Linked DNA regions of Ovis aries. The protein of the gene in region 1 purifies or fractionates together with the protein of each later gene. This does not show direct contact. Links are inferred from orthologs where the notes say so. Each region holds a gene or a part of one and is shown on either strand. Other genes may lie near its edges. The genes, in order: PRDX5, PRDX2 and PRDX1.

Evidence for each region.
Region 2: the proteins of PRDX5 (region 1) and PRDX2 fractionate together in Homo sapiens (co-fractionation; 3 studies listed by BioGRID). This does not show direct contact. The link is inferred for Ovis aries from reciprocal best matches to the Homo sapiens genes PRDX5 and PRDX2.
Region 3: the proteins of PRDX5 (region 1) and PRDX1 fractionate together in Homo sapiens (co-fractionation; 3 studies listed by BioGRID). This does not show direct contact. The link is inferred for Ovis aries from reciprocal best matches to the Homo sapiens genes PRDX5 and PRDX1.

Annotation. Positions count from the first base shown.
Region 1 is NC_056074.1:39,059,652-39,069,237, forward strand, and holds PRDX5 (peroxiredoxin-5, mitochondrial), read left to right. Parts: upstream 1-4,018; 5' UTR 4,019-4,098; coding exon 4,099-4,284; intron 4,285-5,452; coding exon 5,453-5,587; intron 5,588-6,246; coding exon 6,247-6,378; intron 6,379-6,450; coding exon 6,451-6,489; intron 6,490-6,581; coding exon 6,582-6,643; intron 6,644-6,752; coding exon 6,753-6,858; 3' UTR 6,859-6,993; downstream 6,994-9,586. Other genes in the region: ESRRA (steroid hormone receptor ERR1), read left to right, coding at 60-188, 592-759, 858-1,127, 1,553-1,812; TRMT112 (multifunctional methyltransferase subunit TRM112-like protein), read right to left, coding at 2,733-2,840, 2,928-3,017, 3,156-3,257, 3,347-3,424. UniProt on the Homo sapiens protein: Thiol-specific peroxidase that catalyzes the reduction of hydrogen peroxide and organic hydroperoxides to water and alcohols, respectively.
Region 2 is NC_056058.1:11,028,819-11,038,491, forward strand, and holds PRDX2 (peroxiredoxin-2), read left to right. Parts: upstream 1-4,160; coding exon 4,161-4,263; intron 4,264-4,357; coding exon 4,358-4,511; intron 4,512-5,085; coding exon 5,086-5,208; intron 5,209-5,347; coding exon 5,348-5,478; intron 5,479-6,282; coding exon 6,283-6,368; downstream 6,369-9,673. Other genes in the region: RNASEH2A (ribonuclease H2 subunit A), read right to left, coding at 30-101, 307-433; THSD8 (thrombospondin type-1 domain-containing protein 8), read right to left, coding at 1,792-1,991, 3,177-3,327.
Region 3 is NC_056054.1:20,139,636-20,149,565, forward strand, and holds the start of PRDX1 (peroxiredoxin-1), read right to left. Parts: upstream 6,304-9,930; 5' UTR 6,010-6,303; coding exon 5,892-6,009; intron 4,609-5,891; coding exon 4,492-4,608; intron 2,862-4,491; coding exon 2,708-2,861; intron 1,977-2,707; coding exon 1,854-1,976; intron 1,585-1,853; coding exon 1,454-1,584; intron 1-1,453. UniProt on the Homo sapiens protein: Thiol-specific peroxidase that catalyzes the reduction of hydrogen peroxide and organic hydroperoxides to water and alcohols, respectively.

The DNA.
Region 1 (9,586 bases):
TGGGCAGGCGGGCTCTGGAGAGCAGGCCCCGTGGACACAGCGCTGTCCTGCAATTCAAGGGGTACGTCTGGACCGTGTCCGCGGTGGGCGACAGAAGTACAAGCGGCGGCCAGAGGTGGACCCACTGCCCTTCCCAGGCCCCTTCCCTGCTGGACCTCTGGCAGTAGCTGGAGGCCCTCGGAAGACAGGTGAGAGCGCAGTGGGGTCCTTGGGGCTCTGGGGTCAGGGTGGGCAGTCTGTCTGACGTCATTCACACGGGACAGTAGTTATCTTGGGTGCTGGGACCCATGTCGTCCCTTCATCTGTTTGTTCACACAATTCCCTCAAGAAGTATTTACGAAAATACCCTTTTGTGTGTCAGACCTCGAGCAGTACAGCTGGGAGCATGGAAGGTTTTCTAACGTTCAGAACCTGTCCACAGACAGACGCTTTCCCTAGGAGATAGTGCGGCGTTTCCTGGAGAGAGGTGTCCGAGCCAGGCTGGCCAGTGGCTATTGAGGAAGGCCACAGGGGGAGTGACTCTGGGAAGATGTTTGACCCTGAAGGGCTGGCAGAGGGATGAATGCGTGCCTCTTCCAACTGTCGCTACAGCCCCAGTGAACGCACTGGTGTCCCATCTGCTGGTGGTTGAACCTGAGAAGCTGTATGCCATGCCCGACCCAGCGGGCCCTGACGGACACCTCCCAGCTGTGGCCACCCTCTGTGACCTCTTTGACCGAGAGATCGTGGTCACCATCAGCTGGGCCAAGAGCATCCCAGGTAAAGGGCCCAGGCAACGTGGGGTTTCCCTGGGTAGGCTGGGCCCTGCCTGGCTCTGGTGCAGTTGCTTAGCCGGCTCTGGTCCCCCTGCCCTCCAGGCTTCTCGTCACTGTCACTATCTGACCAGATGTCAGTACTGCAGAGCGTGTGGATGGAAGTACTGGTGTTGGGTGTGGCCCAGCGTTCCCTGCCACTGCAGGATGAGCTGGCCTTTGCCGAGGACCTGGTCCTGGATGAAGAGGGGGCGCGAGCCGCTGGCCTGGGGGAACTGGGGGCTGCCCTGCTGCAGCTGGTGCGGCGACTGCAGGCCCTGCGGTTGGAGCGCGAGGAGTATGTTCTGCTGAAGGCCCTGGCCCTCGCCAATTCAGGTGAGTTTGGGGCTTGTACTGATGGGTTTCTCTATAAGGCGCTTTGGTTTTTTAACTGTGATGGTGGCACGCTCCCACTTTGCAGACAGGGAATACAGGCTTAGGCAAGAACAGTGACTTGCTGAAAGTCACGAAGCCAGGTGAGGACAGGTCCAGGAAATGCATGCTGAATTCTGAGCCCTAGTGCCTGTGGTTTTGTAGACAGGTGATCCACTTAGTGGGAGGGAAGGGGAAGGGGACCAGAGGTGGCCATAGCTGAGGAAGGAGGAGTGGGCCCTGGCTCATGGGCAGGAGCAGTGAGTAGTGCTTCAGCAAATCTTGGTGTGGCTCCTTCTTGGGCCCCTACCTGGCAGTGCCCAGGTTGATGTGGCTCTGCCCCTTCTGGAGATGGCCCATGTCAACAGTTCTGTCATCTTGCCTTGCAGACTCTGTGCACATTGAAGATGCTGAAGCGGTGGAGCAGCTACGAGAAGCTCTACACGAGGCCCTGCTGGAGTACGAAGCTGGCCGGGCAGGCCCTGGAGGGGGCGCTGAGCGGAGGCGGGCAGGCAGGCTGCTGCTCACACTACCGCTCCTTCGCCAGACAGCGGGCAAAGTGCTGGCCCATTTCTATGGGGTGAAGCTGGAGGGCAAGGTGCCCATGCACAAGCTGTTTTTGGAAATGCTCGAGGCCATGATGGACTGAGGCAAGGGGTGGGCATGGGTGGGGGTGCTGGCAGGACCCGCCCAGCAAGGGGTCAGCCCCAAGAGGGCAGAGCTGGGGTCTGGGCAGTGCCACAGCCTGCTGGCAGGGCCAGGGCAACACCATCAGCCCCTGGGAGCAGGCCCTACACCCTCCCCTCCCCCCTCCTTGGGGGTGTTAGAAGCTGGGAACATGTGCGCCCAGGCTCTGGGCACAGTGCTGCCCCTCGCAAGCCATAACGTGCCCCCAGGGTGTAGGGGGCCTTGCGGAAGCCATAGGGGGCTGCAGGGGACATGTGTGTGTTGGGGGGGTCGGTGGGCAGAAGCCTGATCTCAGGGAGGGAAGGGAGTGGAGGCCACAGTCTCCCAGTGGGTGATGCTTTTGCTGCTGCTTAATCCGACTTCCTCTCCAGATCGGAGGGGGATTTGGAGAGCAAAGGCTCCTGCTCCCTTTGCTCCTCTCTCATCATTTGCATTGGGCGTTACTGCCCCCCCCCACCTTGAAGCAATAACTCCAAGCAGGCTCCAGCCCCTGGACCCCTGGGGTGGCCAGGGCCCCCCATCAGCTCCACCCAGTCTCCTCAGGGGGCAGGGAGAGCACTGCCTCTATGCCCTGCAGAGCAATAACACTATATTTATTTTTGGGTTTGGCCAGGGAGGCGCAGGGATATGGGGCAAGCCAGGGCCCAGAGCCCGTGGCTGTACAGAGACTCTATTTTAATGTATATTTGCTGCAAAGAGAAACCGCTTTTGGTTTTGAACCTTTAATGAGAAAAAAATATATATACTATCGAGCTCAGAAACACTGTGTGTGGCGTGTCACTGGGTCAAGGGTTAGGGACACATAGGATAGGACTAACAAACAAGATAACGTGTAAACAAAGATTCACACAACCAGAGGGAAAAACCGGCGCCTGGCATAGTTTAAGTCTCAGTTTCCTCATCACTCAGCAGCATATTGGGGATCCCACGGCTGATGGGGAACACACGTCCCGACTCTGGGCATTGCAGGGTGCCCTCCAAGACCTCCACCTGCGGGAAGAGGGGACCAGAACTGAGCACTGGCAGTTGTCAGGTGTGGGTGTACAGCCAGGAAGCAAGCGACGGGTCGGTTCTCACCTCCAGCAGCACGTGGTGCATCTTTCTCAGAAATTCCTCGTTATGCTCATATCCCTGAATCGGCTCTTTAGGCACCTCGATGAGATGCAGCTGTGGGCAAGAGGCTTAAATCATCTCGGCTTCCCAGACGCTCGCCTTGATGGCTGGTGTAAAGGGCTGCAGTTAAGACTATCCCCCCAACCCCCCGCCACCCACGGTGTGCACGGGGCTGGGGAGGTGGGTCCTCACGTTGTCCGCAGCCTCCAGAAGCGCCGCCCACTCCACTTTCGGTATCATACGCACTATGAAGTCGGGGTTGAACTCCACAGGGTTGATACGGACTTCCGTGGCCTGAGGGGCGCAGAGATTTAGTTAGGCAAGGACCGGATCCTGATTCTCCTACCCTCGCCCCCGGGAGAGGTGCCCGAGACGGCCAGTACCTGGAGACGCAGGGGGAAGCCACGGGGCCCCACCCCTCGCACGTGCGAGCTCAGCAAGTTGTGGGTGAGCAGCCTCATGTCTGCGCTGCGCGCTCCCGCACAGCCGGAGCCGGAAGGACAATGGTCTCTCTCTACATCATTTCCGGGGCTGTCCCGCTCTATCCTATTGGACGCCTGGGAGGAGCGGAAACGGCGAACCTTCCGGACTTCCGGTCCTCGCCGGAGCCGAGGTTGGTTGGTATCCTGCGCAGCTCCTGGAAGCGTCTCGGCAGGAGATTGCAAAGGCGCAGGCCCAGTGGTTTTGGCTGAGCTAATGCTACAAATCATGTACAATGTAAATCATACGTAACACTGCTATAATGCAAAGGCCTTCGTGTAATGCAAAATAAGTACGCTTTACTTATTTACACAGGCGCCTAACACCACCGTCTCCTGCCACTTGCTTGCGGTTAAGAAATGGAAATACTGCCCCAATCCGTAAATTACACAATCGAAATAGCGGCAACCCGGCCTTGTATGCAAATAAGCCCCGCCCGCTCGCACGCGCGCCGGTGATCCACCCCTAATACGGAGCTGGTCGGAAGCCCCGCCCATTCGTGCGCCGTCCACGCCTGCGCGGTGGCCAGGTAACGTGCGCCGTTCTACTTTTTGCCCTGTCTTTCGCAGGATTGCGTCTTAACGCTCCGGTTCCGCCCAGCGTACTACCTCTGCCTCGAGGTGTGGGCGGGGCTGTTCTGACTCTATGACTCGGCATGAGTCTGCGGTGGTTACGAGTCCTGGGCTGCAGACCGGGCTCGGTGGTGTCCCGGGCGACCATCGTTGAGGGTGCGTCAGCGACAGCGGCGGGAGCCCGAGGGTGCCTGGAAGGAATCCTCGACTGGACTTTTGGCGGGGTCCGAGGTTTCAGAAGCGCTGCTGTAGCCATGGCCCCTATCAAGGTGACCGCGGGCCCAGCCAGGCCTGACTTCTTTGCCTCCCCGACTCCACTCATTTCTGCACGCCCCTTCGTCCCGCTTGTCTCTGGGAGAGTCACCGTCTTTCTTACCTTCCCTCTGCCATAGAGGCTCCTCCCGCCGTCCGTTCCTCTTGTTTCCTTCAACAAGACCCCGGTAGCTGCAACGATATCGCCAGTTTTAGGGGTCTCGTGCCCCATCTCCTCTACAGTTCTCAAGGCTTTGGGGCCTTCCCCTCGTCTCCCTGCCGCACCCACTCTGGGACACCTGTGACCAGTCTCCACCATTTTCAGGTGGCGTGCCATGGCTTCCCCCACCTATGGAACCATCTCCTTTACCCTTTTTAACCCCTATACGTGCTCGTCTACACGCCCTTCCGCTGCTTTTGTCAAGTTACTGGGTATTACTCTCACCCCATCCTTTGAAACAGGTGACGACGTCTCTTAGAACCCTGTTTTGTCTCTCCCACTGCACCCTTCTGCTGAGTTTTTCAGCCCTTTTATCTTCTGGAACCATCCCCAGCTCCTTGGGGCTCCCCCTTGCTTCACAGTCTTCTGAGAGCCCCTCCTCCTACTTCATCCTACAACCCACTGCTGTGTTTCTCCAGGCTCTCCCTCACTCCTGCCTTTGCCCCCTTTGTCTACTTTTTCTGGCCCGTGAAGCCTGCACACACTCCCAGGAACGCTGATCCCTCTCCCTTGAAGGGAGTCCTTCTGTACTCATGCTCCCCAGCTGTCCCACCTTCTGCTGCCCTCCCATTGTCTCGTCTTGCGTGTGGGACGCTCAGCTGTGCCCGGCGTCCTCTCCCTCCGTGTTGTCAGGGCCTCCTCCTGCCCCTCTGTCCCACTTCTTTCCTGTAACTCACCTTGTTTACTCAACCTCTTGTGACACCCAGAGAGGCCGTCTCTCCTTTTTCCTGTGGTCACAGATTGGCCCTTAAGAGGAATAGGGCCACCTTGAAACTTGGAGGGTGTGGGGTAACCAGGCGGTCGCAGGAAAGGGGCCACTGGAATCTCTGACAGCGGTGGACTTCCCTGCCGGGTGTAAAGCCTGGCTCCACAGGACCAGGCAGGGCTGCTCAGCCCTCAGTGGGCACCCCCACCCCGCTGTTGCGGCCCTGCCCCTGCCCTTACCTCGGAGTCCTTCCTTCTAGGTGGGAGATGCCATTCCGTCGGTGGAGGTATTTGAAAAGGAGCCCGGGAACAAGGTGAACCTGGCGGAGCTGTTCAAAGGCAAGAAGGGAGTGCTGTTTGGGCTCCCTGGTGCCTTTACCCCTGGCTGTTCCAAGGTGAGGCCTGCGCAGTTGGGATCTTATGTGCATGTTTATGTTGTTCACGAGTCCCGCATGGTCCTGGGACCGCTTGTACCAATGGGACGTAGGTGATACGACAGTTAAAGAAGCTTATCAGGCTTTTAAGAAATAAGTGGTGACTGAGTGTAGGGATGTAGGAGAAAAGGTGGTGCAACAGCTCTCATCGATCCTGCTGGGTGACGGGGCTGTGGAAGGGACTTGGGACCCGGGTAAATGAGACGGTCCTGCTCACGGGACGTTCATAGTGTTGAGCAAGGAACACTTTAATTTGGATCCGAGCTTAGTTGTTGCTGTTTAGTCACTAAGTCGTGCCAACTCTCTGCAACCCCATGGACTGTAGCGCGCTAGGCTCCTCTGTCCATGAGATTTCCCAGACAAGAAGACTGGGGCGGGTTGCCGTTTCCTTCTCCAGGAGATCTTCCTGATGGAAGGATCGAACCTGCGTTTCCTGTGTTGGCAGGTGGATTCTTTACTGTTGAGCCACCAGGGAAGCAAAAAGGAACTGTGGCTTACCCAATTTTCATTGTCTGATCAAAGCTGTTGGCATTGGGAAATGAGGAGGGCTTGGAGACGAAGGGTAGGCTGAGGAGCAGAGGCTGTTACCTACCTGCTGACTCTCTGGTTCTCCTCCCCAGACCCACCTGCCAGGGTTTGTGGAGCAGGCTGGCGCTCTGAAGGCCAAGGGGATCCAGGTGGTGGCATGTCTGACCGTTAATGATGTCTTTGTGACTGAAGAGTGGGGACGTGCCCACAAGGCAGAGGGCAAGGTGAGCTGTGGATCCTGCAGGGGATCTGGGGCCAAGGTGGAGGTTTTTTTGTGACTTTTGCTTTCTCCTCAGGTTCGGCTCCTGGCAGACCCCAATGGGACCTTTGGGAAGGTGAGTGCACTCCCAGCTTCCATCCTGGGGAGCAGCCAGGGGACCTGGCCTGTTCTGGGGGTTCCTGACCTTTCCTCTGCTTCTCCTTTCAGGAGACAGATTTGTTACTTGATGATTCACTGGTGTTTCTCTTTGGGAATCACCGACTGAAGAGGTAAAAGTGGGAGGGTCCCCCTTGGGGGTTTGCTTGCTACCCCGCCTGACTCCATTGCCAGCCTCCAGGCCCAGGCTGTTTGACGTGGCCCGGCCCTTCTTTCTGGCAGGTTCTCCATGGTGATAGAGGATGGCATCGTCAAATCCCTGAATGTGGAGCCAGATGGCACAGGCCTCACCTGCACCCTGGCTCCCAACATCCTCTCACAGCTCTGAGGCTTGGAGCCCAGATATCCTCCTCCGGCACTTTCCTGTTTCACCTGCCCAGTCCTGGGCAGAGGGCCCCAGCCTAGCCTGTGATCACTCAGCTGAAATCTTCGCCAAATTTCTGCAATAAACACTTCTGGTTTATATCTGTCTTCTTGGTTTTGAATTGCTGCTTTGCCCAAGCCAGGCCTCACTGACAGTCCAGCTGTTAGGGTAGTGGGCAGAGGCTGAAGTGGGGACTCATAAAGGACTCTGATTTAACTTAGACAGTCAGAGAAGGCCTCTTGAGGGAGGTTTCATGAAGCATCCATCTACAAGCTGAGAAAGGGCCAGCGGTCTGAAGAGTGAGAGAAGGAGCGGTCCTGCTGAGGGAGCTCCTCGGGAAAGGCTCTGGATAGACCCGAGCTTGGCTAGGGCCCGTGACCTTTTGCATTTGATATCTGGATGATAGCCGATCTCATTTTGACTGCAGACCTCAGGGTAGAAACTGGCCCAAGGCATCCCCCCCTCATCCCCCCCTTTTGGGAGCACCCACATCCCAAGAAGGGCCCATGGCACCTTGGGACCATCTGATGGGCAAAAAGGGCTCCATTGGCAGAGCCAGTGCTGGTTCAGCCCCAGGGGTGGGAGGTGATGGGTGGTGCAGTGTCCCGTGGGCAAAGTCTAGGTAAGCTGTGGAAGAGAGGAGACACTAGTAAGGCTGGCCCTGCAGTGAGTGTGTTGTATGTTGTTAGGGGCCGAGAGTCAGGGAGGCCAGCAGGGCTTGAGGCTGAGGAGCATTCTGTCTGCAGGCCTTGCCCTTGGGCCTCTGCCTCTTGTCCTCAGAAAGCCCTGTGCTTGGAAGCAGGCTTATTAGGCACCAGCTGTGTTAAAGAGCTCATAGTCTAAGGGAGGCAGATGCTTGAGGTATGCTAAAAATCCTCACACGATCCTGGGCGGTGAGAACTGTTATACCACAGAGAGGTTAAACAAGTGGACCTGGCTCCTCCAGCCACGTAAGAGGAGTTTGGATTTGAGCCAGTCAGTTGGCCTCGGGGAGCTTTACAGCCCCGCCCTGGGCCCCGTCAGCACCAGGCTCCAAGGGGTTCTCCCTGCCCTTCCAGGCCATCTGGGGAGGCTCAGGGCAGCTCAGAGCTGGCTAAAGCAGGCTGAGAGATCTCAGGAAAGATCAAGGAAAGGCATCTTGAAGGACACAGTCCTTGAGGCAGTGGGGCTGGTGCGCCTGGCGGCGGGAACAATGTGGCCATAGTTACAGAGGGCAGAAGAGCTCCAAGGTGGTGGAGCATCTGAGTGAGGGCAGGGAGGCTTTTGAAGCCCTGTAAGCTGCTTACATTTCACCCGGCGGGCCCTTCAGACCAGCGAAGGATGTCTGTAGGGCAGTGACAGGTCAGAGTCATACCTGGACTCCTCTGTGCAGGTAGAGCTGGAGAGGGGCAGGCGGGAGGCCGAGGAGAGGCCAGTGTGCGGCAGGATTGATGACTTGAGTGTCCAGGAGGTGGGGGCTGGTACAGGCGACCTGGGGGTGTTGGAAGGGTGAGTCCCCGGGGGTGCTTGGCTGGAGGTCTAAGGGGTGGGAGAGGAGGGTCCTCGGGAGGGGGCCAGCCTCCCTGCAGGGGTCCCAGCTGCTCAGCCTGCCTGAGCCAGCTCACCCACTGACCTTTGTCTCCTCAGTTCTCTTCCACAACCTGTCACCGCTCAGGAGTCCTGGGTTGGGGCAGGACAGAGGGCTGACCACCCCTCCAGCTTCCTAAGCTCTTGTGACCTGTCCCCACCAAGCCCTAGGTCACAGCACTGTCCTGGCTTGGATGGCAGGAAGTCCCTTTCTTTCCAGACACCATCTCTCAATTCTCTTGTTGTACAGATGAGGACACAGAGGTGTATGTAGACGTCACTGTGTGCACCCTGTGAGTGGTCTGGAGGCTCCACAAGCCCGAGAGAGAAGTGAGTGTCTGAGCTGGCAGCTGGGCTCTCGGAGCCTGGAGTCTGCTGGCCAAGTGGGGCCCCTGCGGGCCGGCACCCTATTCCTCTTCCCAGCAGACCTCAGGCCACCCTGGCAGCTCCTCACCATCAGGGCAAGCCCAGTCTCCATCGATGCCACTCAGCTGCCTCTGTGCCTCCACTCCTGACCTCATGTCTGGACAGGCTGAGGTCCAGTGAGGCCTCCGAAAGGAAGCGTCCCCTCCAGGATCCCGTTGCCACTGGCTGGGCCTTTATGGCAGGGTGAGGGGTCTTCTAGGGCCAAGGTGACCCCTTTGGACAGCATGATGGGAGTTGGGTGTGGGTGGGGGTGGGCCTTCGGTCTCAGTGGCCCTGGCTGCTGGCCGGGGGGCTGGGGGTGTCTTGTGCGCTGCTCCAGGTGCAGGACTGCTTGAGATCAGCCATCTCATGGTGTGCGAATCCGCCTGCCAATGCAGGGGACACGGGTTTGACCCCTGGTCCAGGAGGACCCCACATGCCGCGGGGCGACTAAGCCCCCGTGCCACAACTGCTCAAGCCCACCTGACAGCAGTGGGTGTGAGCCCCCTGGGCTGTTGGTGGTCAAGGGGCCAATGTTAAAGTCAGTCAGCCAGACCTCCAACGTCCACCGGACATGGTGGTGCCGGTTTAGGCGCTAAATTGTGTTCGACTCTTGTGACCCCATAGACTGTAGACTGCCAGGCCCTCCTGTCCATGGGATTCTCCAGGCAAGAATACTACAGTGGGTTGCCATTTCCTTCTCCAGGGTATCTTCCCAACC
Region 2 (9,673 bases), on another chromosome or scaffold:
CCCCTCCCTAGACGCACCTCAGTGCTCACCTGCCACTTTTAAGGCCTCCAGATCCTCCAGGCGGGACAGAGGACAATAGCAGATAGCATAGACCATGGGGCCTGCGGAAGAGGGAGTCCAGTGAGCCCGTGAAAGCCGCCACCTCTAGTCCATCATCACCGCTTTTTTTTCGGTGCCATCACCAATGCCATCGCCATCACCGCTATCACCCCCCTTCCCGAGGCTGGTGCAACCCCAGCTCCGGTTCCACTGCAACTTGCATTCCCCTTATCATGCCCCTCCCCCACCCAGCCCTGGGGGGCGCACCCAGCACCGGGCCCCGGCCCGCTTCATCGACGCCCAGGACGCAGGGCTCTTTGAGGCACACAGGAGGCACAGGCGAACTCAGGCGACAGCGGCCCGTATTGTCTCTTTCCAGCTCGCTGAGATCCATGCCGCCTCGGCCGCCGCCACCAGCCGTAGTAAGGAAGTCTGCAAGGAAAGGTCTCCCCGGGCGTTTTCCGCGGGCTCCGCAACAGTGCCAGCTCTCGACCTATCGGCACACAGGACACGCCCCCAACACGCCAGCCGCCGTTGACGTTTGCGCAGCCTTCGCCGACGCCGCTGCCGTGCGGCTTCCTGGGAATTGTAGTTTCCGAGGCTGACAAGCGAGCTCCGCGCTTGGGGAACCGGGTGGGCGGTGTCGCTTTCCAAGCTCCGCCCCGGTGTCTCTGGAGCTCCTCCCGCTGCGGCTAGTGGGCAGACAAGGGGAAATAGAGGGGGAGACTTGAAGGACTCGACCTCATCAAAGCTTGTGCTGTACTTAGTCGCTCAGTCGTATCCGACTCTTTGCGACCTTTTGGACTGTAGGCTCTTCTGTCCATGGGATTCTCCAGGCAAGAATACTGGAGTGGGTTGCCACGCCCTCCTCCAGGGGATCTTCCCAACCCAGGGATCGAACCCAAGTCTCCCGCATTGCAGGAGGATTCTTTACCGTCTGAGCCACGTGGGAAGCCCCGTCAAAGCCCAGAAGGTCAAATACCACTAGACTCCGAGAATTCGGTGTCCGCATCACCGAGTTCCCGGCCTTCATCTGGTTTCAGGCCCTCCTGTGTTCGAGGTCCCTGGAGCGCCACACAGTCTAAGCCCCCTATAGTAGGAATTCTGGCTCCCACTGGACTCAAACCTTCGGACTTGGAACCCCCAACTCCCTCGTAGCTCACCGGAAGCGCCTCCCCCCTACCCCCGCCCGCTTCGTATCCTCTCTTTGGGCTAATCCTCCTCTACCCCTGAACAGAGATCCCAGACTTCTCCAGAATCCGGCTTAGAGTCTTCGTCCATCAAGCAGGCTCCCTCCCCCTGCCAAACTCAGGGTTCAAGCCCTCGCCCCCTTCTCTGCTCTTTTCCCTTTTTCTCACGTCTTAGCGAGGAGCACGCCTCCTAGATTTGTTCCAACGAATGCATCTCTTTCTATTTTCTGCTTTCATCAGGGCTCACGCCCTCAGCTTGTGGGTTTCTGTTCCTCCGTCTCCGTTTTCCCCTTCCCCACCCCCACCGTCTATCTTCCTTTCTCCTCGGATATCAGCGGGTCTCACATCTCCTAACTCAGCTCTCCTTTCCCACGCTCTGCTCAAGCCCCAGATTTAGTGTTCCTTTTCCCGATGCCCGCCTCGTGCCCGCGCTCCCACGTTCAGCCCTTCCTCTCTCTCCTCCCATCCTGGGGACTCAGGGCCCCGACAAGCCAGCCCGCCGAGGGTGCGTGTGGGGGGGCGGGGGAGGGGCGCCTCCTCCACGCCCGCTGCTCACCCGGGCTCAGAGCCTCCAGTCGCAGTCGTTCGGCTCGCAGGATGAACAGTCCCGTTGCCGGCAGGGTCGCACCTGCACCAGATTCTCGCGGTCCATGAACACCGGACCCGGCGACGTGCCCACCACCTCGCGGCTGCGCTCCTGCTTGCCCAGGTCGCAGAAACAGCGCCACTTTCCCCAAGGGCCAAGGACAGAGTCTTCCAATTCTAGGGATGGAGAGCCAGGTAGAGGGGGAACCTATATCCCCGCATTCTAAGGAGGGCGGAGGAGAAAGATACTAACAAATAACAGTTCCAGACTCCGGGAGATGGTGAAGAACAGGGAAGCCTGGCGAACTGCCGCCCATGGGTTCGCAAGGAGTCGGACACGACTGAGCGACTGAACAACAGCATATTCGCTCAGCTGTGTTTCTCTGCCACCTAGCCCGACACAGATGATCTCTAATCTTCCCATTAGTCCCAGGTGGGGAAACTGAGACCTAAGAAGAGCAACCCACCTTTCCAAGCTCACACATCTGGTGAGCGGCCCAGATGGGCTGCAAAATGACACGTCCCATCTGTGCCTGCCTGTCCAGTTGGGGGTGTGGTACAACACACTTGGTGGCCACCGTCTGAAGGTGACTCCTCTCTACAAGGCTGTGATCACAAGCCGGTCCAACAAGTCCAGTGTCACCTGACCAGCAGCATTACCAGGTGGCAAATTAAAGGACATAATTAGCATAATGAAGGTACTTAAAGCCCCTGGCTATGCATGGGAATACAAAAACAATTATCTTGACCACTTTTAAAGCAGCTGCATTTATCAGACGCCCTTTACAACTGTTCTTTTACAGACTCTTCCCTATGGCCCTAGCTGACAGGTCTTAGCTCAAGTCTGGGGCTCAGAAAGTCCTGACACCTCATGCCCTCATGAAGCCTCTGCCAGACAACACTGGCCTCTTTCCATTTCTCTTTCCATCTTGGCACTTGCTGTTCTGACTCACTGGCACGCTCCTCCCCTTACATTTTCGCATTTGGGGCTTTTTGCTTGTTATTCTGGCTGCACTGGTTACCTATCTTCAGCCAGGAGGCCTTCTCTGACTTTGGAAGTTTCCATGCGCCCTGCCTTCTCTATCTCTGCCTTTCTCAGCACTTATCCATGAATTTATGGACACGTCTGCATTGGTATTTATTGCCTGTCCACTCCCCTCTCCCTGTGTATACTGCTTAAAGACATTATCTTAACTTACATATGAGAAAACTAAGCCAAAGTAACCAGCCCAAGAGGTACCCCCAGGGCTCAGCAAGGCAGAAATTTGAAGTCCCTGGAGGAGGGTCTATCTGCAGCCAGATGGTGAGGTGGGGGCAAATGAGGCCCCTTTCTGCACTGTCATATCCGGGGCCTGCAGTTACCTTTCTCCTGATGCTGCAGCCGCAGCTGCTCCCAGGTGTCCCCTTCGCCCTGCTGGCCGAAGTACTGGTAGTCGGGGGAGACCTGGGAAGGGGTCACCAGCAGCAGGAGCATCAGAGACGGCAGTAGTAGTGCCGCCCGGCTCCGGGCCATGCCGGACTCCAACCGACCCCGGCGCGCTCCAAAGAGAAGGCCCCGCGCATCACCCCCCGCAGTCTGGTGTAGTGGTCTGGGCCGGAGACTGCGCGTCTCCCCCCGCCACTCGCGGGCGCGTGGTCGCGGCCGGCTCTGCTTCCCCTCCCCTGCGCTTCCTGCAGTGGACCCGACCGCTCCGTAAGTCCGCCCACCTCCCCGTGCCCTAGGCGTCTTGGTTCGGGCCGACTATAAAAGGCGCCGCTGGTCTGGGCTGGCTTGGCCCTGCGAAATCAAGTCCGTGCATCCGAGAGTCCGTGCGTCTCGCCCTTACCCACGCAGGTATGGACACCGAGAGTGCATCGCGCTGCGGGATGGGCCCCCTTGGAGCAGCTCAGGCCCAATCCAGACCTCAGCGCCGGCCGCCTTTGTTTTCCGCCCGCCGTAGCGGCTGCCTTTGTCCTTGCGGGAGTGGGAGTGGGGGTGGGGGGCGGGAAACCGAGGCCAGAACCTTGGAGTACCGGCCGCATCCCCATGCTTCCCGTCCCCAACTCGCGACATCTTCTGGGCGGGTGGGCTTGCGCGATCGCGCTACGGCCGACACGCTAGCTGGGGACCGGGCGGCCGCAGCCCGGCCGCCCTAGCTGTCCAGGTGGGCGGGTCTCCTAAAGTCTCCCGGCCGCGCCGACCTGGTCCCGGACAGGGTGCGGGGCAGGGCCGCAAGTGTCTCCGTCGCTCTGACTCGGTAACTCGGCCGGATATGCAGCGTGACCTTGGGAAGTGAAGACAAAGGGTCGTCCAGAGCACACTGACCCGGCGTGGGTGGGGCGGGGGGGGCCTCTCAGCTTTCAGTCATGGCCTGCGGCAAGGCGCACCTCGGAAAGCCCGCCCCGGAATTCCAGGCCACCGCGGTGGTGGATGGCGCCTTCAAGGAGGTGAAGCTTTCCGACTACAAAGGTGAGGGCCTAGATGGGGGCCGCGGTGGGGGCGGGGCACAAGCCTTAGAGGGCCCGAGCCCCAACTTCTCGTCTCTTCCCACCCCTTTCCCCAGGGAAGTACGTGGTCCTCTTTTTCTACCCGCTGGACTTTACCTTTGTGTGCCCCACGGAGATCGTAGCTTTCAGCGACCGTGCTGAGGAGTTCCACAAGCTGAACTGCGAGGTGCTGGGCGTCTCCGTCGACTCTCAGTTCACCCACCTGGCTTGGTAGGAATGGAGATCACCAGCAAGGAGGGAGGGTACAACTAAACCTACACCTCTCTAGGGCCCCAGCTGTGTGTTCTCCTGGTCAGTGGGCAACCTCTGCGTATGCCTTTCCCAGCAAGAAAATAATGGAGAGGGTGATTCCCAAGTCCTTCAGGATGATGGCAGTAATTAGCCTTTGGAAAGCAGTTTCTGTGGCATAGGGCGTTGATAAATGTTTTATCTCAGTTAAGGCAATGCAGCCTCCCTCCCAAGAACTATTTGAGCCAGATGGAAACTCCAGTTTAAGAGTTCGAAAGAGGACTTCAGGGCAGGTTCTCTGCCTCCCATTGCTGCTGCACACGTGAAGTTACTTTGCTAGAGTATTAACTTAGTCTTCCCAGTTGTGGGAAGCAGCCTCTGCAGCCACTTCAGGGTGGGGTGGGTGGGGCTCCCTGAGACTTGCTTTCAGGCTGCTTATCTCTCACCTCCAGCACCCCCTTCTCCAGCCCTCATCGCACCCAGGCCCTTATCACAGGGTAAGGACCCTGCTGCACCAGCCATCCTGAGGTCCCAACCTTCTCTCCCCCGCCCCCAGGATCAACACTCCCCGGAAGGAGGGAGGCTTGGGCCCACTGAACATCCCCCTGCTGGCTGATGTAACCAGAAAGTTGTCCAGTGATTATGGCGTGCTGAAGGAAGATGAGGGGGTCGCCTACAGGTACTGTGGGAACCTCGGGAAGCCCCCATCCTTAGGGTGAGGGGACCACTCTCACCCTGTGGCTAGCAGGGAGTCTGCTCCCTCCCTGGGTCCTGACAGTGGGCGCCGCGGCTCCTCACTGTGAACTCCGATATCTCAGGGGCCTCTTTGTCATCGACGGCAAGGGTGTCCTTCGCCAGGTCACCGTCAATGACTTGCCTGTGGGACGCTCCGTGGATGAGGCTCTGAGGCTGGTCCAGGCTTTCCAGTACACAGATGAGCATGGGGAAGGTGAGCAGACACACCCATTCACATGTGTCCACATGTGGGTTCATACGCAGCCCCTGGGTCATGCACACATATGTTCATGGTCTGCTGTATTGCTTGTGTGGAGTGGATGTGAGGGCCCCAGAGAAGATTCAGCTCAAGGTCTGCAAGAAATTTCTAGTCCGGTTGGGGAGATACTACCCCAATATAAGGGCAGACAACTGGGGAGGTAACAGAACTCCATAGAAGATATTTGAGAAGGCCTGTACCAAGGCAGGCAGGCTTGAATGTTAATTGGATCAGAGTTATCTTCTCCTGTGAAGGCCACTGGCCCTCGAAGTCCACTGGGACGGGGGCTAAGAGAGAAAGATATAATTAAAGGAGTCGGAAAGAAATTAAAATATCAGCCAGGGAATTTGCTGGCTGTCCAGTGGTTTCCAAACTTTTACTGCTAAGGGCCCAAGTTCAGTCCCTGATCAGGGAACTAAGATTCCATAAGGCACATGGCATGACCAAAAAATAAAATAGGGACTTCCCTGGCAGTCCAGTGGTTGAAACTTCCACTATAAAGGACACAGGTTCAAATCCCTGGTCGGAAAACTAAGATCCCACATGCCTTGAGGTACAGCCCCCGAAAAATGTCAGACAGTCCTGCAGCTGAGCATGGAGGGCTTCTTTCATCATGTGGCATGGTCTTAGGCCTGGAGCACTTGGCTCTAGGCCTTTTCTTCTGCAACTCATGCTCTTGCGCCTCTCTTTGTCCCCTCACTACCGTTCTCCCTTGAACATGCACTCAAGCCTCTCCTGTGCATCCCTGTTTTTCCACAGTCTGCCCTGCCGGCTGGACACCAGGCAGTGACACAATCAAGCCCAATGTGGACGACAGCAAGGAATATTTCTCCAAACACAACTAGGCTGGCAGATGGTGGCAAGCCTGGGCTCTTGGCCTGCCTCTGTGCCCCTACCTGTGTGTTCTGTACTGACCCAGGAAATGTCAGACCTGCTCCTTCAGACTCCACAGTCCATGACCACAGAGGGTTAGGCCAAGTCCTTCTCAAGCTCCCAGCTGCGAGCTGGTGAATGGTGACCCCCTCCTTGGAGCCCACATAACTGGGAACAGGCCTATAGGTGACTAATAAAGTATTAGGGACAGATCTAAGTCTTGTGTTTGTGTGGTTTGTCCTGGTGTGGTACCACCCGCGGCTGCTTTCTCCAGGCTGAGGCCTGGGAAACTGACATTCTGGTTACCAATCTCCGCCACAAGGTGGCAGTCTTGCCTCATGCTCACTGCTTTCTTTCTCTGTGGCCTGAAGGGAAGGTGGTTGGCACTGTTGCCCCTTGCAGGGAGCAAGTCACAGGCTGCCTTATCACCTGAAACCTGGCCAGGCAGGGCAGCGCCCACACCTTAACAGCAGCCAGCCTGGGTTAAAAAGCCGCTTAGGAGCTGTGGTCTTCCCTGGGTCTTTTCAATAGCAAAACGGGAATAAAGACGACCAATGGGAATGAAGACAATGCATGTTAAAAGAGATAAGTATGTGAAGATCAGGATTCTATTAATGGTTAATAGGACCAGGTTCCAGGGACTGGAAGAAGGTGGGGACCCAATCCTGAAAGTAGAACCAAGAGGGGGATGAGGTACATGCATAGTTCCTGCTGCAAGTTCTGTACCACCAGAGGTTGGAAAGTCTATGTCTTTCCCCTGAAATGGAAGGGTGAGGGTTAGACAAGAAGGCAGGTATTAGGAGCAACATAGTGTTCTAAGGTGCAAAGTTTGATGCTGTACTTTTTCAGGCAAGTGGTGTTGCCATTCTTAGCCCTCATTTCCTTCCACAGGACTGACATGCTCATTTAATCCATAGACTCATTATTAAATTAAGCTTCCCTTGTGGCTTAGTAAAGAATTTGCCTACAATGCAGGAGTTGCAGGTTCAATCCCTGAGTCAAGAGGATCCCCTGGAGGAGGAAATGGCAACCCACTCCAGTATTCTTGGCCTGGAAAATCCCATGGTCAGAGGAACCTGGCAGGCTACAGTCCATGGGGTCACTTAAGAGTCAGACACAGCTTAGTGACTAAACCACCACCACCATTAGTAGTACTCCCGCCTAATGCCCTCCAAAGTCACTCATCTCAGCCTTGGAGTTTTTATTCTATTGTTTTTAAATTTTTAAATTATTTTGACTGCACTAAGCCTTCATTGCTGAGTGTTGGCTTTCTCTAGTCACAGTGAGTGGGGGCTGCTCTAGCTGCAGGGCAGGGGCTTCTCTGAAGCAGGGGCCCTGGAGCGCTGGCTTCAGCAGTTGTGGCATACCACACTGGCTTAGTTGCTTCGCAGCATGTGGAATCTTCCCAAACCAGGAATCAAACTCAAGTCCCCTGCACCAGCAGGCGGATTCTTGGCCACTGGATCACGAGGGAAGTCCTTGGCCTTGGAATTTTATCTATACCCCTCCACAAGGCCCTACATGGCCTTCCCTGACCTCATCTCCACCTCGGTGTGTTCACTCCACTGAAGCATAGTGGCTTCTTGGTGTTCTTTAACAGGCTGATCTTGTTCTGGCCACAGAAACGTTGCATATACTATTCTCTCTGGCAGAACTCTGTTACTGAGGATTTTCTCAGGGGTCAGCTGAAAAATCGCCTCATTAAAGTTCCGTGTTCCCAATTCATTCTCCAAAGCAGCTCACCTCCCCTGCTCCATCACGACCATTGTGACCAGTTTTTTTTCTTTCTTTTTTTCTCTCTTCCTGGCACTAACCACCATCTCCAAATCATGTTTGCTTGTTTATAGTCTGTCTGCCCTGGTCTAGCTAGTGACTCCAGGACCGGGTCGTTCAGTATTTTATAAACAAATTAATGGAGCGTTTGTTCTACGGCACCTAGGTCCTGTGGCCTGGTTTCTCGGTCTGTGTTTTTCTCTGCTGTTCTGGGGGCTTCCAGCTCCGAAGCCTGCCAGATCCCCATCGGGGCTCGCCAGCCGCCCTCCCACCCGTCCTAGCTGCGGGGGAGGCAGCCCCGTGCGAGGGCGGCGGCGGCGCCCGGCGGCCCGAGCAGCCGCCCCGGCAGGACCAGACCTGGCAGTCGCCCCGCTCCCGGCCTGGCACCCGGGAGGGGAAACTGGCAGGCGGGCACCGCCCTTCCTGGCGGGGGTGGGGAGGGGATCGCGGTGGCAACGACGCTCAGGCAACTGCATCCCCCCGCCCGGGTCAGGTCAAATGCAGCGGGCGTGGGCTGGGCAGGACCCAGGGGCCAGCCCGATGGGGGAAACTCTGGGGTAGCTCTTGGGGCTCTGGAGCGCGGCCCGCCCACCGCGGACGCTCTGGACCCAGGCCTGGGGCTTTCCGGGCCTCGGTAGCCGCCAGCCTGGGAAAATCCCGGCCCCCTTCCCGGCGCCGCAGCCCTGCCCGGCAGAGCGGGGGAGGGGATTCCCGGAATCTGCCCGGAGACCGCCGTCGCGTCACTGGGCAGAATCAGCCCATGTTTGGACAGCGCTTCCGCAGCGTCAGCGGGGAAAGCCCCGGCGCGCGCGGCTGGGAGGTGCCGCGCCTGCGCGCTGAGCGTTTTGCCCAAGGCATCCTGTCCCCTGGCCCTGGGGGCGGGGGGGGGGGGAAGGGTGGCTGGACTGTGTACACACCCTGGACCTTCCAATCCGGGAGATCAGGAGACGCCAGAAGGGTTGGACACCCGGCTGAGGGTGCAAGATGCCTGAACAGAACTGGCGAGGTTGACACAGTTACAGGAGCAAGCCACAAACAGCCGTGGGGTGGGGGCTGCCCAGTACTCCCCTCCCTCCCCCCTGGCCGGCTTGAAAAAAAGACAACAGAAATTAATAAAGAACTTTTTTTTTTACTTAAATAGATTCAATAAAAAGTAAGGACAATAAACGAACTCACACATAAACACAGCTTAAAATAACTCCTTTAGAAACCGACTGCGTGTTTCTTCTCCACAGTACGGTGCAGAGGGGGGAGGGCAGGGGGCGGGGGTCCCCTCCCCAGTATCCCCGAGGGCTAGAGTACCGGGCGGCGGGGCCAGCTCCGCCGCAATCGCCCCCTCCTCCCCTCCCTGTTAAATACACAAATATATTATATTCAATATGAATTGAGTTCTGCAGGAAAAAAATAAAAAAAAATAGTGGAAGGGGGGCTTGTAAACGTTGAGGTGGAAGGACTGGGCGCAGAGCGGGCGGGCAGGAGTCCAGTGTGGTTAGTTGCGCCCTCA
Region 3 (9,930 bases), on another chromosome or scaffold:
ATGACAGCACCTCATAGAGTGCTTGATATCCACAGGCACTCAGACACTAACTATCATATTATAAGCCATTAAAGACTGCACACAGAAAGCTGTGCTTGTTTTAGTGGGATGGGAAGCAGCAGACAACAAGAGTGTTGAGAAGCAAGCTTCACAACTCATGAAACCTTGGGTTCAAGAGTCTATCCCAGTAAAAATTAATTTAAAAGTCTATACTACACATGCAAGGGAAAGTCAAATAAAGGGCCAACTTTGCCACCCACTCCTCAGCTCCTTCCATCTTTGTTCTGAACCATTCTCCACCAGAGGGCAGTCTCAGCAGCTGTCTGCTTCAATCCAGAGTAAACCCTACACATACTTCTGCAAATGGTGCCTTCTGATTCCCATTACCTACTTGCCTTCCACTCCAGCCAAACTAGTACTTTCGGGTCCCCCAAACACCACTAATCCAGACTCTTAACTTTCACCTCCTGTAACTCATGAGATGTGAATTGAACAGTAGCAGTGATCACAACTATTTTATATCCTCAATTACATTAAGCTGGGGTAGCTGGGTGGGGTTCAAGATCCCCTTCCCCCTACATATCCAGCACTTGAGCAGACTGAGGAGTTGTTCTTTTTTTTTTTTTTAAATTTTAAAATCTTTAATTCTTACATGCGTTCCCTAACATGAACCCCCCTCCCACCTCCCTCCCCATAACATCTCTCTGGGTCTTAAAACTAAACTCTTAGTTGGAATACGGTGGTCTCATTACAAGCAACAACTCCACTGGGCCAAAGTGGGGAGTTTTCAGAAGCTACAGTCTTGTAAACTGAGAGCCTGGGAGCAAGCAGTTCAGGACTTTATCAAAAACACTTCAAGGAGACTATTTCAGATGAGAAGGACCAGAGCAGTAAGAAAGACCTACACTCTAACGAATGCTAGACAAAAACCATATAATTGAATCTTCTCAGTAATGTTTAGATTTTACAAGGACAGACTCACAAAAACATCTTTAATCCTGAAACTTCTCGAAGGACCTTGAGATTTCATCTCAAACCCTCTTGCCCTAATCCCTCCTCAAAAAATTTTTTATATTGAACATTTATATAATTTGGTATTTGGTGACTATAATTCTTATAGATACAAAAAATATTCTGCACAACAGAATGAATTTTTAAAAGACAAAAATGTTAACACCTATGAGATCCTCCTACACTTTAACAAGTTGAATCTGCAGCAGTAAGTAATTCTAAATGAGCAGGGTAGAAGCTGGGAATACACAGCTGGAACAAAAAGCCTTTATATTCTCCTCCCCAAGCTTTTCTATTACCTCACCCCTACAACCCACTATAATCCAGAGACTGAAATTTCTTAAAGAGACATAATAACCCTTTTCCTATCTGGTAGACTTTGTTCCCACCGTCTTTCCCACCCTATCACTCCACTGTCCTGTCACCAGGCAAACTGGCTTACCTTCCCCATGTTTGTCAGTAAACTGGAAGGCCTGAACTAGTCTCAGTGTCTCATCCACAGAGCGGCCAACAGGAAGATCGTTTATGGTGATCTGTCGAAGGATACCTTTATCATCAATAATAAAAAGGCCCCTGCAAGAAAATATTAAAGGTCAGAGGGAGAGATAGTACAGTTTTAGAAATTGCTGTTAGAGTAAATCAGCAGAAACTGGCCTTCCCCTTAGGTCCTGCATAAAGAATGAAACCATTATGCCATCCACCTTAAACTTACACAGTGATGTATATCAATTATTCTCAACAAAACAGGAAGAAAAAAACAAAATAAAAAACGTCTCCACAGATCACAGCTCTACTTATAAAAGATCTTCAGCCAATCATCCAGTTTCCTGGTGCATATATACCTGAATGAGATGCCTTCATCGGCCTTTAAGACCCCATAGTCCTGAGCAATGGTGCGCTTGGGGTCTGATATCAAGGGAATGTTCATGGGTCCCAGTCCTCCTTGTTTCTTGGGTGTGTTGATCCTACAGTAAAAAAAAACACACATACGATCACACTCATTCAAATTCTTCTGTAACAAAAGCATTAACTGTGTCTATCCTACCCCAACGTTGCTAATCTAACTCCCCAGAAAACTTTAAATTCTTTCCATCAGTAAATGGTGGTTTAGTGGCTAAGTTGTGTCCAACTCTTGCGACCCCATGGACTGTAGCCTGCCAGGCTCCTCTGTCCATGGGATTTTCCAGGCAAGAATACTGGAGTGAATTGCCATTTCCTTCTCCAGGGGATCTTTCCAACCCAGGAATTGAACCTGGGTTTCCTGCATTGCAGGCAAATTCTTACCGACTAAGCTATGAGGGAAGTCCAGCGGTAAGTGGCTGAGGCCAATTAAAATCACCAGGGTACACTCAGCTGCAACCCAAGCTGCTTTTTCTCTGCTGCTAAGTTATAAGAGCAACAAGAGGAAGTCAGAGCATTTGCACTCCTTCCATGAGGAGCCAGAAGTCAATACTTGAAAAAGTCTATTGCCAAAGCCTCCTGGTTCCAGTTGCTGCTTAAAAGCTCCTATGCCTGGACTTCCCTGGTAGTCAGGGATTAAGACTTCTACCACGTTTCCACTGCATGAGGCACAGGTTTGACCCCTGGTTGGAGAATTAAGATCCCACATGCCACACAGCACAGCTACAAAAAAAAAAAAATCCATAATTTATAATTTTCTAAAATAAGCCCATGCCAAATGGACCAAGAGATTTACCATGCCAGGTGACAGAAGTGAGAATCCACAGAAGCACCAATTACTTGGCAGTTCAGTTTCTTAAATTCTTCTGCCCTATCACTGAAAGCAATGATCTCCGTGGGGCACACAAAGGTGAAGTCAAGAGGGTAAAAGAAGAACACAACATATTTTCCTGGGAAAAAAAAAAAAAAGCCTGTTACCCTTTGAAATAGACTTCCTTGTTTTGCAGAGAATGTAAACCTAAAGACATTTTCCTATGGGAAAAAAGAAGCCTTTTTTTTTTTTTTTCAACTGATGGCAGACAACTGTTAAAACACCAAGATGCGCAACACAGATGATGCCTAGCAGCTACTGTAGAACCTCGGCCATAAGAATTTTCCTTCTTCCATGTTAGCTGCCAACTACAGATAAGCACTGTTCAGTCTAATTTTGATCTTCTCTGAGTAGTTAAAATTAACACAAACACCAAGTTCTTCTGTGAAGAAAAGAAAAAACAAGGATGCAATCATCTACTGCCAATACTCATATAATCAGTGCCCAGAAAGAGCTGAATTGCTGGATTCTCTGCCACAAGGCAACAAGACCAACAAGAGAAAGTCAGAGCCTTTGCTATTCTTCCACAGTGAACCACAGTTAACGTGATAGGTAAGGTCTAAGTGATACCTAAATCACCACAAACATGGTTCAAATAAGTCTGATAGGATGCACAAGCAAAGAAAAAATTTCTAAGACAAAGGTCCCAAAATTCTCCTGGAAGGTAATAGGATTTCTAGTTGGAATTTTATTAAAGTCATTCTGATTACCAACTGAAGTAGATCTTCAACCTGTCAAGCAGTCTCTCACCAACAATTCCAAATATTCACATTTCCAGATACCAGCAATGTTTCAAAATCAAAATATGCTGGTCCTTCTGACACACTTCAACCTTCCCCCAGGGTTTTGCTAACAAGCTTCAGCAGGTCAAGCCCAGGAGGGCACAGAGCAACTCTTCCTAAACCTCATGCCTTTACCCTTAGGCCAGGGTCACCTCCCTATGGTACTACTTACTTTGTTTGCCAGGAGGAGCTTTCCTCCACAGGGCCCCACTTATCTGCTCTCATTCCAACCAGTATGTGGAATTTGTTAAGAAATCTAGTCATAGGTTTTACCCAAAAGCTAACTCTATGAACTGCTGTATCACCAAGAAAGGTATACTTGACGCCTGAGTCCTTAAGTTTAAATTCTAGGAAATCCGTATTTTGAACTGTCCCAGAATACCTTGCTATTCTAGGACAGTAAAGTAAAAAGATCCTCATTAGTATTTGCCTGGTTTCTACATGAAACTACTTAACAGAAAGGAGAGTTGTTCCAATTGTGACATCAATTTTTCTCTGGGGGTAAAATGTCAAGGGAACATGCCTAAACCCTCAATCGTGACACACATTTTGTAAACTGAACAGTTTCACAGCTCCAAAGACTTGAGCTCTGAGACTTTAAATTGTCCAAGGCTTTAAACTGTAACAAGATAATGAGTGTATCTCCAGTTAAATAACTGAGGAGCAATATTGGGAAGATAATTGAGATATTATGTCCAGATATAATGAAGTAGGCACATGCCTTCTCCAGAAGTAGTTTGGACTTGGAGATCTACCCTATGTTCACTGATGATAATCACCACTTCAATAGGAAGGCAACAGCCTCTTATCCTAAAGACAAATGAGATGTAAAAATCATTTTACACTCAAACATGACAAGAGATAGAGTGAACAAGCCCTCCCTAGACTGTACTATAATTTCATATTAATGAACTTAATTACTCTTACCTTTGTAGTCAGCTAGGCTGATATCCTTGAACTGACCATCTGGCATAACAGCTGTTGCTTTGAACTGGGGGGCACGGTGCCCAATTTTGGCATTTCCTGAAGACATATTGCTATCAGCTGGAAAAGATGAGAAAGTGAATTAGAAACAAGTCTTACTTTTCTAGATAACAACCTTCATCTATTTAAGAGACTAAGCTGTAGAAATTGTCCACTGGTCTTGAATATACACATAAACTTTTATAACAGTGAGAAGCATGAACTGAGCTTTCCAACTTTTCAAACAAAAATATTACACATCTCTGAATCTCACCTCTGTTTTCATTTTTGAGGGGAGGGACTGTTCATTTAAGATCTTTAAATTTTTATTGGAATATAGTTGATTTACAATGTTGTTTTCATTTTAAAATGGGAATTTCTTTATAAACTGAACTCTTCCTGTTCCTGAACCATCATCAGTACAACTGCATTTTCCTGTGTACGTTTATTATACAGGTGTACAAAGAGAAGAGGGTGGAAACTCTCAAACCTGGGCCCAAAGGTGCAATGCCATAAACACTAAGCACCCAAGCCTCAGAAGCTGCCATGATGCCCTTTCCCTGGACTGCACCTCCATCTGCCTTCAGAACGTGGGAAGCACACGTTCTTTCTCTGGGTAGATTTCCCAAGACACACACCCTAAAGCCAATCCAATTTTTTAAGAGGCCAAGTCCAAGATTATGGCATCTCTCAATTTCAAAATTCTAAGTGTTGTGTTTAAAGCCCAGAAGTCCTTTCAAAAGTGAGTTTACCGAGGGACCAAGATCCTGGAAAAATGGTTAGAACAAGAGTCAATTTATTGCCAAAAAGCAACGTAACACTGGATTCACCCTGGTCAAGAACATGGTAAGATTTAACCCAGTAAGTCATCAGTTTGATAATCCCAAGAAGCTAACTTTTCAAGTCCCAAAATTCTTGGTTCATAATACTACAGCCAAAAGAAAGACTGAACATCGACTGTGACAATTTTTTTTTAACCGCTTAACACCTATAACAGCAAACCAAAAAACCCAACCAAACACAGGAGGTGACCCTAATATACATGTCCTCCTTATTCAAACCTTTTCCAAGGGATCCCTACGTCCACTAAAGCACGACCAAGAGCGGGAGGCGGGGAAGCTGGAGTTCCACCGGGTGTGTCCCCTTCAGGAAATCGCCCCTTGAAGGTCCCTGGTGAAAGCCACTCCGCCAAAACCCACTTCTTGTACCCTCCCTGCCACTCCCATCATCACCCCCACCCTAGCGTCTCAGAAAGCTCCAGAAGAGTGCTCAGTCTTCACCGAGGACATTTAGAATCACTACAAACCCCATTCTGCAGGTGGAAAAATAAAGACGGAGAACGGAATCTTAGTAACTTTCCACACCTGAAGACCGGGAACAACCTCTCCTTCTACTACACGATCGACTGATAGCTCTCAGTTCCTGATCAGTTTGCAGATTCACTCGAGAAGTTTCCCTTACCCGCGCGTCAGGAGACTCCATCACCACCAACCCGCCCAGACGCCACGCCAAGCCAATCAGCGCTTTCTGCTTGTATTGCTGGGGGTAGGGGAGACTCAAGCTGCCGTTAGCCTCGGGTTTCAACCTCGTCCCCGCACCCAAAGGAGCCCCACACGAGGGTCGCTTCGCCTGGCCGCCTTCTTTGTCCGAGGAGCCCAGCTGAGTTCAGCGGGCCCCGAGGAGAAGACGGGAAAGGTGACGGGCGGGGCGGGGGCGCGGCCCTCATACTCACCAGTTCCAGAGAAAGAGGACCGATACCAGCGAGGAAGAAGACGCGCGAGGCGTGCGCGGGGCGCTGCCTTTATAGCCTGTAAGGCTCTCGCGAGAGTCAGGGCGGGCCGGGGGTGCAGGCGGGGGGAATGGGGAGGGGGATATGGCCAGCACACCGCCGGGACCCGACGTGCCCTGCCAGGATGACTCAGCGCTTTCCCTTGCTGGGGGCGGGCTCCCGCCCTTAGAGTACCAATCCCCCTCTCGCCGCCGACGGTTGAGGCCTGAGTTTGAGGCGCTCTTTCAGTCCTTTCAGAACACGAACGCCTCCTCCTTGTTCGTAAGGCCCAAACCAGGGTACGGGCACTCGCTGCTGCTCACGGAAGACTACGTCTAACCAAACCCTGAGGAGAACGATCTCTTCAAGTATTTCTGAAATATTCCGCCCCTGTTTCCGCAGCCTCTGCTCTAGTACTGATCCTCCGTGTGTGTGTGTGTGTTAGTCGCTCAGTCGTGCCCGACTCTTTGCGACCCCATGGACTGCAATCCACCAGGTTCCTCTGTCCATGAGATTTTCCAGCAAGGATACTGGAGTGGGTTGCCATTTCCTTCTCCAAGGACTGATCCTCCGTAACCCTCATTATTTAGACAGCCTCTCTTATTGTTCTTCCTTATAACAGGGTTGTTGCATTCCAGCTCCCCTGCATGAGTTCCTTTCCCATTCACTCCACTGCGGCTGCAGGAAATCTTTCTGAAATTTGATCTCATTCATTCACCGCTCTGATTTGTGGTTTATAGAAACTGGGGCTCTGTCTTCCTGGGTTAAAACTCTTGTTATTTTATGTGTGGCCTTAAGGCAAGAGTCTTAATCAATCAGCCTTAACTTTTCTCGCCTGTAGAATGGGAATACTATGAATTCTTTGTTGAGATCATCTCTAGCTTATTTAGCAATTCTCACACATGAAAGTGTTAGCTGTTGTTTTTAGTGTAACTCATCTTGCTCCTCTGTCGTAACTCCCAGGACAGAGAGTAACTGTTTGAAACCTCAGGCTTTTGTTCGAACGTGCAGAACCTGTTCTCTCCTATTTGGCCTGCAGAAAATGTGTCAGCTGAGGCATTACCTTCTGGTGAAACTCTTCTGACTTTCACTGATCCTCAGAATTCATTCCATCCTTTCTGCTCAAACAGTAGCCTGCTTGGTCACAACCATCTCTGCGCCCTCAAGTCACAACATAGCATCGGCTATAAAATAAAGAGTATTGAATACATATGTTAGGTAGTTAGAATAGGAAACAGGAGTCCAGAATGGCTGTGGCTAAAAGGCAAGGAAGGGAAAAGCCCGCGAAAATAGAACAAAGGAAGGTTGAGGACTGGAATGAGGACCTCAGGTGGAACAAACAGCACTCCAGGCTAGCCAAGTTTACATAGGGCAGGCCCAGGGGGAGGAAAAAACATAACACATAGTACTGTGTTCCCCTTTCTGCCCATAGCCCCCACTACCTTATCTCCTTTGGAGCTTATAGCAGAATAAAAAGTAGGGAAGTGCTGTGTCATTCTGATTGAGCATCTCAAAAATTTTTTCGCATTTATCATCCTACCGCACAACAGTAGTGATTTTTTTTTCCTTTTTTTCCCTCTCTGCCTGAGATGAACAGTTATTTGGCCATTACTCATGTCCTTCTTTTTTTCTTTTTAATTGGTCATAGCCATCCATTACTGTGCTCAATCAAATTTTATTGTTTTTTTAATATCTATAATATTTTCCTTTATTTATTTATTTTTAGTTGTGCTGGGTCTTCGGCACTGTACCTGCTTTCTTTACTTGCTCTGGGAAAGGGGGTTGCTATGCTTTGTTGTGGTGAATGGGATTTTTATTGAGTTGGTTTCTCATGTTACAAGCACAGACTCTAGGCATGCAGAGTTCAGTAGTTACTGGCCCAATGGGCTCAGTTGTGTTTTAGCATGTGTGATCTTCCTAGACCAGGGAAGATCCGTAATTGAATCCATGTCGCCTGCATTGGCAGGCAGACTCTTATTTACTGCACCACCAAGGAAGCCCCTCATTTACTTCTTGAGGGTTCAGGGGAAAAAAGACATTCAGAGTTTAGTGTTTTTGTGTAATCAGTCACTCAGTCCTGTCCCACTCTTTTGCGACCCCATGGACTGTAGCCCACCAGGCTCTTCTGTCCATTCTTTTGTCCAAAGGAATTTCTCAAGCAAGAATACTAGAGTGGGTTGCCGTTTCCTTCTCCGGGGGATCTTCCTGACTTAGGGATCAAACTTGCGAATCCTGCATTAGCCTCAGAGCTTAATAGTGGATGGTTATTGCTGTTAAACCAACAACACACAGTCCTACTTCACCCAGAATAAAATTGCCATTTATTGTATCTACCATGTGTCAGGCCCTGGGCTGGGCACTTGAGTTTGTCTTATTTAAGAACCAAGAGTTATCCTGGCCCAGGGAAATATTAATATCCAGTTCTTGTGGGAACATAAAAAAAAGAAATAGGACAGTTCTAACAAGAGAAGAAATCTATTGAATGCATGTGTAGAGTCTCTTTCCACAAAGAACTGTAAACATTTTGGAAATGGGGGCAGGGGAACTTTATCCTTCTATGGGACCTCTGTCCTCCCTGTTCTCCAGTAGTTCTGGGAAGGATTTTATGTTTTATTTATATTTGTAGTACCAGAACCCATCATGCTAACTGGCCTAGGAGATGTGCTTAATTAATTTTGGAAGGTACTACAGATTTTTGAGATGTGGAGTTGACTTACTTGAACTACATTTTAAGATGATGATTCTAGCACCTGTGTGATAGATAAACATAGTGACTAGGAGACAAGAGACCAACTGGGAGGCTACTGCAATAGTCCAGATAAGAGAAGTCTCACAGGGACTTCCCTACTGATCCAGTGGCTAAGAATCTGCCTTTCAATGCAGGGGGGCACAGGTTCGATCCCTGGTTGGGGAACTAGGATCCCACAGCAATCGTAACTAGTAATGAGGGGCAACACTGAGCAACTCAGTGCTTGAGCCATGTCAAAGATCCCAAGTGCTGCCTCTAAGACAGAATGCAGCCATATCTAACTAACTAACTAACTAAATATTTTTAAAAAGAAAAAGAGAAGTCTCAGAACTGTAATGACATTGGCAGCAGGAAGGGAAGAAGAAGAGAAAGTATGTTTATACAGGCTTTTGGATTAATTGCATTTAGGGTGAGAGGAAAGAGGAGGTTCAGTCTGATTCCTTGGTTTTATAGGAAACGTAGGAGGAGACAATTTTAGGTTAAAAATAGCAATGAACATTTGTTGAGTACTACCTGTTTTATAGATGAGATGCCTGATGCCCAAAGAATTTAAGTAGATAATCTAAAGTCACAGCTGAGTGGTGCTGGAGCCAGAGGCCATCCAGGCCAGCAGAGCCATCATGTTGCACGTGAGGCAGATGTACCATTTACATAGACCATAATGTGGACGATGCCCCCTGGAGATGTGCCTTACACTGGTTTGGCCAGGCTGACTCTGGAGTCTACCTCATTACTGACTCCTCTCTTAAAGGAGACAATAATCAGTTTGGTTTGAGGCAAACAGCACTGAGATGCTCACAAGACATCCAGGTAGAGGTATCCAGAGTTGCCTTTTGGAGATGAACATTTGAAAATCAACAGCACAGAGGTTTAGTTACATACTTAT